2 linked regions of the Oryzias latipes genome follow. Each later gene encodes a partner of the first gene's protein in a complex. Links are inferred from orthologs where the notes say so. Each region holds a gene or a part of one and is shown in the gene's direction. Other genes may lie near its edges.

Region 1 (4,398 bases):
ACTAGACGATGATGATCTTTATATAAAAAGAACACATACTTTAGAATCTAAAATATGTTTGGTTACTATTTTAAATTAAAATTTATTTTCATTCGTGTTGTATTATTTTTCTTAACTGTCATCAAATTCATTCAGTGCCAGCATTTGGAAATTCTAATATTCAAACATACGTACAACATTTTATACACTGAAGTTTAGGATTTAGTTTTACATGAAGGACCTTCTTAAAATGATCTTCAACTTCCTTTATCTCACAAAATAGATAACTTATTAATTCTTCCAAATATTCAGTGATTCTTTACCATAAACAGTACATTTTCAACGCAATTGATACCTCACAGTATACAATTGTCATTTGTTTTAGTACAGTTTTCAATGCAGTATTATGATTTAATGGTAACATTTGGTCAATAATATTTTCATATTTTTAAATCACAGTGATTATTATTTGAAAAGGTATTACTCAGAAAGTAAATCTGTCAGATTTCAGTTTGTAAATTGCATATAAATGGCATTAATAAGCAATAAAATATTGTCCAAATGTAAGAGAAGAATTCAAAATAAATTTCACGAAAGAGGCTGCTCTTCTTGTTAAATAAAACGGACCAAAACTCATTGAATATGCATAATCATGCTTAAGTGATATAGGTCATAAATCAAATTATTTTTTAAAACACTTTTCACACGTTGGTAACACAAATGCTTTGCTGAATAAAAAATATAATTTTAACTTAAGTTTGAAGGCAAACTTAGCGTAACCCAAACTGCCACCCAGCCCAACTCGTTCATCTACAATTAAAAAAAAATAAAAAATTCTATAACCTGAAGCATTTTCTCAGTCAAAATGTCGAACACCAGAAGCACTGTTCGATTTATAATTGATTATTTTAATTGTTGTCTAACTCGGGTGGAGATTGTGCTGATGTTGTCAGTCATAAACAATGTTCAAATTAGTCATCCTCAGGCCGTCCACACGGTTACAGAATAATGCACATAATGAAGTGTGTATATATATATATATATATATATATATATATATATATATATATATTATGCCGTTTACAGATTCTATATCAAACTAACCCTGGCTTTTTCTTTTTTTTAAGGTCTCGTGAGCTGATTTCTTTCAGCTGAGTGCTCACCACCTGGGACAATTTATGTAGTAATAACTTCATGATTTATATTCATGTTATGGTAGGATTTAGTCAAAGCCTTGCTGTTTTTTTTCCAATAAATTAACATTCTTTATTTTAGTTAGTTGAATTGGTGTCAAGAGATTAATTCTGCAGTTTTGTGTTTTTATATATATATAAATTTGGTTTAAGTGGAATACATACCTTCAAATTTAGTTGTATCATTTTTGTACTTTGTAATAAAAGATTTAACTTTTTCGTTTATCTTTGTATCATTTTTTTAATCACATACGTCGACAAAGTATTTGTTGGAGTGTCCAATATTTATCTTCTAACACTTGAAAACTCAGTCACGTGCGCAGCAAAATGGATGGGCACGTGTCACGGTCGTAAATACGTCACTGATGTGCGCCGTCGTTCTTTCTTTCTCTCGTCCTGAAGATGGCGGCAGGGGTGAGTAAGATGGAGAGGAGGCCAACAATGGAGTTTTCTTTCAACCTTTTCGTCACAATCCGTCTCGTATCTATGTCATCTGCTCTGTTATTGTGTCGTTTAATAGACACATTAGACCATGTTGCTGTTTTTTAGTTGGTAGAGGGTTTATTTGTCATTTATATTTAAGAAGACGCTAACAATCCTGCCTGTTTAATGGCTAACTCGGTTGTGCCACGTTACAATATTTCGTGAGACTGGGGATGATGCTCCTAAATTTTCCGTGGCCATGCCACTTTATGACCGACGCATTTTTTAGAATGATTAAAACAAAAATCCCCAGATCCTCTTTATTCTTTTGATCGAACCAATCAAATAAGTGAACAGATCAGATGTGGTTTGCTAGTCTTACAAAAAGCACAAGTCGCGCTAAGCTAGCTTACTTCTAGTTTGTTTCTAAAACAATGTAACCATGCCACTTAAGTTTAAGAGGCGTTTCAGCCTATTGGTATTCCATATGTATTTACTTTTGGTAAAATCTTTTTTAAAAGTGCTCCGTTTCTGATATGCTCATTCATTAGCCAGGATTAGCTACAGCTGGCATCGTTATCACATTACCTCAGTCTAAACCTTTTCTCATATGAAACAATACAGTTTAAATTAGGTTTGGACCTGCATTAAAGCAGTTTAATCATAGAAACGTGCACAGAGATTGCATAACTAGATGGATTCAATACATTTAGTCACAAGCTGATAGAAGTTTTCCTGTATTTCAGACTATCTACACATACCCGGAGAACTGGCGGGCCTTCAAAGCCCAGATCGCTGCCCAGTACAGTGGTGCTCGCATCAAAATCGCCAGCACCCCCCCTGCCTTCACCTTCGGACAGACGAACCGTACCCCTGCCTTTATTAATAACTTCCCGTTGGGCAAGGTGAGGGCAGCTCAGTCACATTCAAGTCTTGTTCTTTTCCTCATTAACTAGTTGGGTTTCACACAGCATCAAATCCTGTGGTTCTAGGTACCTGCCTACCAGGGAGATGACGGCTTCTGTCTGTTTGAGAGTAATGCCATTGCTCACTACTGTAAGTCACATTTTTTTACTTCTTAGTCTCTCTAAACGGTCAGAACAGGTTGCTTTAATTGTTATCCAGATTCTCTAAATCAATTCTATTGAGTTGAGGCAAAACGATAGTGAAGCCTTGTTAGCAAATGTTGCTAAATTTGGGGGTTTTGCAGTATGGTTTTATGAATTGTTTAAATTTCGTGTTTTCATAAATCCACTAACTGCTTTGTTCATTCCATGGAAACTCATTTGTCTTGAATTTGTATGAGGCTTTTGGTTTTCAAAGATCAACCGGTTGTTTTTCTGGCTTGTGGCCTACAGTGAGCAATGATGCCCTGCGCGGTGCCACGCCTCAGGCAGCAGCGCAAGTGCTGCAGTGGGTGAGCTTTGCTGACTCTGAGATCATCCCTCCAGCAAGCACATGGGTCTTCCCTACTTTGGGAATTATGCAGTTCAACAAGCAGGTATGCAAGTCTTTATTTTCTGGATTATTTGGTTATTGTGACATGATTCTAAATCACTGGCTAACTGTTAAGTTTTAAACTATTTTTTTTTTTTTTTTTTTTGGTGTGTAGGCCACAGAGCAGGCCAAAGAAGATGTAAAGAAGATCCTGACCGTCCTGAACCAACACCTGAACACTCGCACTTTCCTTGTGGGTGAGAGAATCAGCCTTGCGGACATCACGGTGGCCTGCTCCCTGCTCTGGCTCTACAAACAAGTATGCAGCTTGACACTTTTCACTGTGTTAAGTGGAACCTCCAGCATTATTTGAGCTGGTGTGTTTTCCATAAATGAGCTGACCTGTTTTATCTTTTGTAGGTCTTGGAGCCTTCCTTCCGCCAGCCCTATGTTAACGTGACCCGCTGGTTTGTCACCTGTGTCAACCAGCCCCAGTTCAAGGCCGTCCTCGGGGATGTCAAGCTGTGTGAAAAGATGGCACAGTTTGATGGTGAGTCAACAAGAATGTACTTGTTAGAACCCTGGATTCATTTAAAAACTATTTTCCCTTTGTATACCAATAAGTTTTATTGCACAACATTTGGCTTCAAAGGTGAACTGACATCTCTTATGTTCCCCCCGGAAAGCTTTATTGTTTAAACTTTTAACATGGTTACTAAAGTTTGAATAAAGCAGAAACATCTGGTCATGCAGGGTGCATGCTCGTCACTGGTTAATCCAAACATAACATGAAGATATCTTTTCATTTTCCAACTTTTTTTAATAATCTGACTCAAGCATCTTCTTCATAGAATAATCCATGCCGTGCTTTTCTTCTAGCAAAGAAGTTTGCTGAAATGCAACCTAAGAAGGAAGCACCTGCCAAAAAAGAGAAGGGAGGAAAAGAGGCAGCCAAGCCCCAGGAGAAGAAGGAAAAGAAAAAGGAGGAGAGCAAGCCTGACCCAGAAGAAGAAATGGATGACTGTGATGCTGTTTTGGCTGCAGAGCCTAAAGCAAAGGATCCCTTTGCTCACCTGCCAAAAAGGTACCCAGTGTCCAGTGTTGCATTCAATCACTTTGTACCAGTAGTTATAGATGGTTTCAAACGTGTAATTGGAGTACTCTATCCCCTGTGATTGGGCAAGACTGTGTCCAATCATGGCATTACGTCTTAATCAGACGGGGGAAAAGAAAGAAAAGACCACATTCATCCCAGTCATCTCTATTTCAGTGGGTATAAGGCTGGTTCATGCTGTGGCCACATGTTGTATATCAAAAGCATTCAGTGCATTAAACCTGAGATTACCTCTGATTTTATTTTACTTTC
Region 2 (4,250 bases), on another chromosome or scaffold:
CCTGACAGAATGTCCCAAAGCAGGACCATACCAGGCACTGCCTTAGAGAATCCAAAAGACTTCTAAGACCAAGAGGAGGAAGAGGAGTGTACGCTGAAGGCTCAGAGATGTTTGTCCAGAAGAGGAGGCAGATCCCCCGACTACCAAAAACAATGTTGTCCTGCCAAACGGAGGACAAGTCCTCTACAGAGGACACATTTGCATTGCTGCTAGTCCGGAAGATCTGGACTTCATTTACATGAGAGGGCAGTGTGTGTGCATGTGAATATGTGCGTGCATGTGTGTGTGCGTGTGACGTGGTCTGTAGCATCCACACAGGTTAAGTTCCTCCTTGGTCCAACATCAACCTGCTATGTGTAATGAAAGAAGCCCGAAGGACAAACTGGGTTCCTGGGTGGAACTGAAAGACCTCAGCCACAAACCTCACTGAAGAACCACACCTAGAACGTCCATCTGTTCTTTATCAGTAGGTATCAGAGAACGTCTCCCGGTCTGCAGACGGAGATGTCAACAAGACACCCCCCTTCTGTTCTATAAACATACTGACGGGCTGAGCATTTCTACCTCCTCACAGGCTAAACAACTACAGACCGTGTAATGTACCTCTTCACAGTCTATGACAGGAAAACATGGCATAGGCCACGCCCCTCTCAAATGGACATTTCCCTTAAGACACCTGAGCAGTGCAGAAGCTTTAGGACAGAAGATGGACTCACCTGAGGACAGGAAGACGATCCTGCCTGACCCATGTCTGCTCGTATGAAACCGACTCACTCAGGTGTGTAAAGGTCATTCATGCTGAAAGCCAATGGGAGCAGGGAATGAGGACAGGCGGGTCACATGACATTCAGGTCTGACTGCTTTTACTGTTGTTTGTTTAACTCTAACCTGTCCGTTCTGATGGAATGCAAAGGAGATGATTTCCCTGCAGATCAGTTCTCAGACATGTCCGGGTTCCTCCAGTTCCACCTGATCCAGATCCACTAGCTTACAGCCCCAATCTAACACCATTAAAAATGGTAGCAGCATCCCACCCATCCATCCGGCCGGTTCTTATCCAGATTCCAGGAAAACAAAAACGTTCATGGATCTGTTGGTCTGCAGGGGAGAAAGGGGCGGGGCATGAAGCTTGTGGCCCCGCCCAGGATATGTTCAGCATCACAAATATGAAACAGCGTTTTTTCATCTGCTGCTTCATTTGGATAAAGGAACCCTCAGAAATTCATGTATTCTTTCCATTTGTCCTCCATCAGGAGAAAATTCTACGTGTTGAAAACACCAAAGCAGCTGTTCCACCGGGGGGGGGGGGGGGGGCCTTAGAGGGACTCCACGTTCCTGCAGGGTTCCACTGCAGAACACAGAACGAAACCAGCCAGGACCAGCTGAGAGACCTGCAAGCATGTAAACAGAGAGCTCTCAGCTCCACGCCAGCGGCCCGCCCACAACTCAGAGGAGAATGTCTGATGAACTCCTGCCGCTCTGCAGACACTAGGTCCTAGAGAACCACAGGGGGTTTGGATTTAAAGACGCTTTGAGTTTGAGAACACATCGGATGAGGGTTGGAGTGGAACTTTGAGACCAGTTAGAACAGTTAGAACCTGTATGTTCTGGTGCAGACCTTGCCCCTCCTCCTCCTCCTCTTCCTCCTCCAAGGAGGAGGAGTCTTGAGGAGGAGTCAGAGCTCCGGCATAAATGCGTTTCCCGTCCTCCCTCCCTCCTCTTTCTCCTCTTGGTCGCGGTAGAAGCAGCTCATCTTCGTCATGGGGTTCGGGGACCTGAAGTCTTCGTCTGGGCTCAAAGTTCTGAACGACTTCCTGACGGACCGGAGCTTCATCGAGGGGTGAGCGGAGCCGCCATGTTGGGTCCGCCCGGCTACCCATGCTAGCTGCTAGCTTAGCATTTGGCGCTAAACACCCGCGCAGAAAGACCGAGAACACGCGGGACGGCCCGGGATCGGTTCGGTGCTTTGACCGGCAGAAACGCGCCAGCCAAAGTCTTTGGTTCCGCCAGGGTTCTGGAGAATTCCTGCTGGCTCGTGCCGCGGGTCACATGGCTGGTTCTCTTACATGGTGCGCGCGGTGCATTGTGGGTGATCTGACCGTTACCCGGGCACAGAACCTTGTAGTTTGTCACTGGTTCCGTGGTCTTCAGAACCCAGACTTTGTTGCTTCTTTGGTCTGCAGCTGGTCCTCCCGGTTCCTGATACGAACCTTTTGGACACATGTTGATGCGGGTCCCGTAGACTTAAATCCACACCCAAGAACCAAAGTTCTTTTGTGGTCCAGGTCCAGTCCTGAGCTGCTTTGTCTGACCCGGTCCAGGTCCAGTCCTGAGCTGCTGTGTCTGGAGTTCTGTGGAGGTGGGGATCCTAAACCCGTCTGCTGGATGGAGGAGATCCCGTCTTCCACTTGTAGATGTTCTCCGGGTCTCAGGCGGTCTGGACCTGCCCCTGTGCGGGGATCAGGTGTGTTTAGACCCACGGTAACCAACGGTCTGTCTCCAGGTATGTCCCCTCTCAAGCGGACGTAGCCGTGTTCGAGGCCGTCTCGGCTCCACCCCCTGCTGACCTGTGCCACGCCCTGCGGTGGTACAACCACATCAAGTCCTACCAGGCCCAGAAGAACAGGTGAGGCGGACGTGGTGGTACGAGGCGAGGGTCCGGAGACCAAAGCTGACCTCCAACGCTGACCTCCGGCCTTCAGTCTTCCAGGTGTGAAAAAGCCTCTGGGTCAGTACGGCCCCACGGGTGTAGCGGACACCACCTCCAGTGGCCCTGCTGCCAGCAAGGATGAAGATGATGATGACATTGACCTGTTTGGCTCTGATGAAGAGGTGAGGCTGCAGTCTTAGCCAGGTCTTCATCGCTTCCATCTCACCTGTGTGATTGTGGTCCGGCAGGAGGACACGGAGGCCGCTAAGCTGAAGGAGCAGCGTCTGGCCGAGTACGCCGCTAAAAAAGCCAAGAGTAAGTCTGCACATGCTCAGTCTGCAGCAGTTCTCTGATGATGATGATGATGATCCAGTCACCATCTTTCGGCTGAGCGCCTGATGGACACCTGTTTTCACCTGACGGTCGTTGCTTACGGTCAGACGTAGCGCTCTGTTTGCCCCACTGAAGCCTCCCTTTCTGCTAGAACCCGCCCTCATCGCCAAGTCCTCCATCTTGTTGGACGTGAAGCCGTGGGACGACGAGACGGACATGGCGAAGCTGGAGGAGTGCGTGCGCAGCATCCAGATGGACGGGCTGGTGTGGGGACAGTGTAAGGAACCGATGGGTCGTTGATCAGAGTCACGGATCTGCAGAGATGATGATTTACTCACCATCTTTCGACTGAAGTCTGATGCACACTCAGAACCCTGACCCTGCAGAACCCTTAGTTCAGACCACAATCGCTGCATCGACAGAACCTTAAGAGTTTTGTTTCTGGTTCTGCAGCCAAACTGGTCCCGGTGGGTTACGGCATCAAGAAGCTGCAGATCAGCTGTGTGGTGGAAGACGATAAGGTGGGTTCCTTCCTGTTCCTCCTGGCTCCCCCCCCTCAGGTTCTAACGGCGTTCTGTCCTTTCAGGTGGGAACGGACATCCTGGAGGAGCAGATCACAGCCTTTGAGGATTACGTTCAGTCCATGGACGTGGCAGCATTCAACAAGATCTGACATGTTAATAAAATCATCAAACTGTCGGCTGCTTTCTTTGGTCTCATTAGAACTGATGTGATAACAGTTGTTCATGAAAAAGCTTGCAGTTCCCTCCGCGGCCTGTAGGCGGCAGTGCAGCTCCAACAGTTGAGTGCAGAAGAAGACGACCGGAACTAAACAAGCGCGCGCCGACACGGACCAAACAGGAGGATTAACCCGCGCTAGAGGTCCTCAAGCGATCCACAATCTGGACCGAACGTCGCTCCACGCGCACAGGTGTGTTCAGTCGGAACCAGCGATCAAAGGCTAGCGGTTAAATACAAGCTAACCATGTGACTAATGCGTGATCCAAGCGCCGTGTGGGTTTGTGTATTAAGGTTCACGCGCCTAGAACGTAGTCCAGGTGAGGGTGGGGCCTGTGAGCGGAGTTCAACCCATTTGGCGCGCAAGATCTTACCTGTCTGCGAGCGAGCCACATCTGTAGTGACGTCACAACAGGACTCAGAAGGTGGCCGTCAAACGTCAGTCCAGTTAGCCCAGGTGTTGAGAGAACCACCCGCTTCTGGTTCCAGCAGAGAACGTTGGTCTGTCCTGAGGTCCATCCAGCTGTTT

What was found.
Region 2: the proteins of eef1g (region 1) and eef1b2 are in contact, whole or in part, in a crystal structure (PDB 5DQS), measured with the Homo sapiens proteins. The link is inferred for Oryzias latipes from reciprocal best matches to the Homo sapiens genes EEF1G and EEF1B2. Residues at the interface, in NP_001395.1 of Homo sapiens: Leu146, Lys147, Thr148, Arg149, Thr150, Phe151, Glu155, Arg156, Pro185, Asn186, Arg189, Leu192, Thr193, Asn196, Gln197, Pro198; in NP_001032752.1 of Homo sapiens: Ala20, Asp21, Lys22, Ser23, Tyr24, Tyr28, Val29, Cys50, His51, Arg54, Asn57, His58, Ser61, Tyr62, Glu65.

Annotation. Positions count from the first base shown.
Region 1 is NC_019868.2:13,733,722-13,738,119, reverse strand, and holds the start of eef1g (elongation factor 1-gamma), read left to right. Parts: upstream 1-1,497; 5' UTR 1,498-1,574; coding exon 1,575-1,586; intron 1,587-2,341; coding exon 2,342-2,500; intron 2,501-2,587; coding exon 2,588-2,651; intron 2,652-2,953; coding exon 2,954-3,096; intron 3,097-3,207; coding exon 3,208-3,351; intron 3,352-3,452; coding exon 3,453-3,582; intron 3,583-3,911; coding exon 3,912-4,116; intron 4,117-4,398. Other genes in the region: polr2g (DNA-directed RNA polymerase II subunit RPB7), read left to right, coding at 1,107-1,120. UniProt on the Homo sapiens protein: Probably plays a role in anchoring the complex to other cellular components.
Region 2 is NC_019860.2:25,082,510-25,086,759, reverse strand, and holds eef1b2 (elongation factor 1-beta), read left to right. Parts: upstream 1-1,636; 5' UTR 1,637-1,760; coding exon 1,761-1,840; intron 1,841-2,503; coding exon 2,504-2,626; intron 2,627-2,702; coding exon 2,703-2,832; intron 2,833-2,898; coding exon 2,899-2,965; intron 2,966-3,134; coding exon 3,135-3,260; intron 3,261-3,436; coding exon 3,437-3,504; intron 3,505-3,569; coding exon 3,570-3,656; 3' UTR 3,657-3,682; downstream 3,683-4,250. Other genes in the region: ADP-ribosylation factor-like protein 11, read right to left, coding at 717-749. UniProt on the Homo sapiens protein: Catalytic subunit of the guanine nucleotide exchange factor (GEF) (eEF1B subcomplex) of the eukaryotic elongation factor 1 complex (eEF1).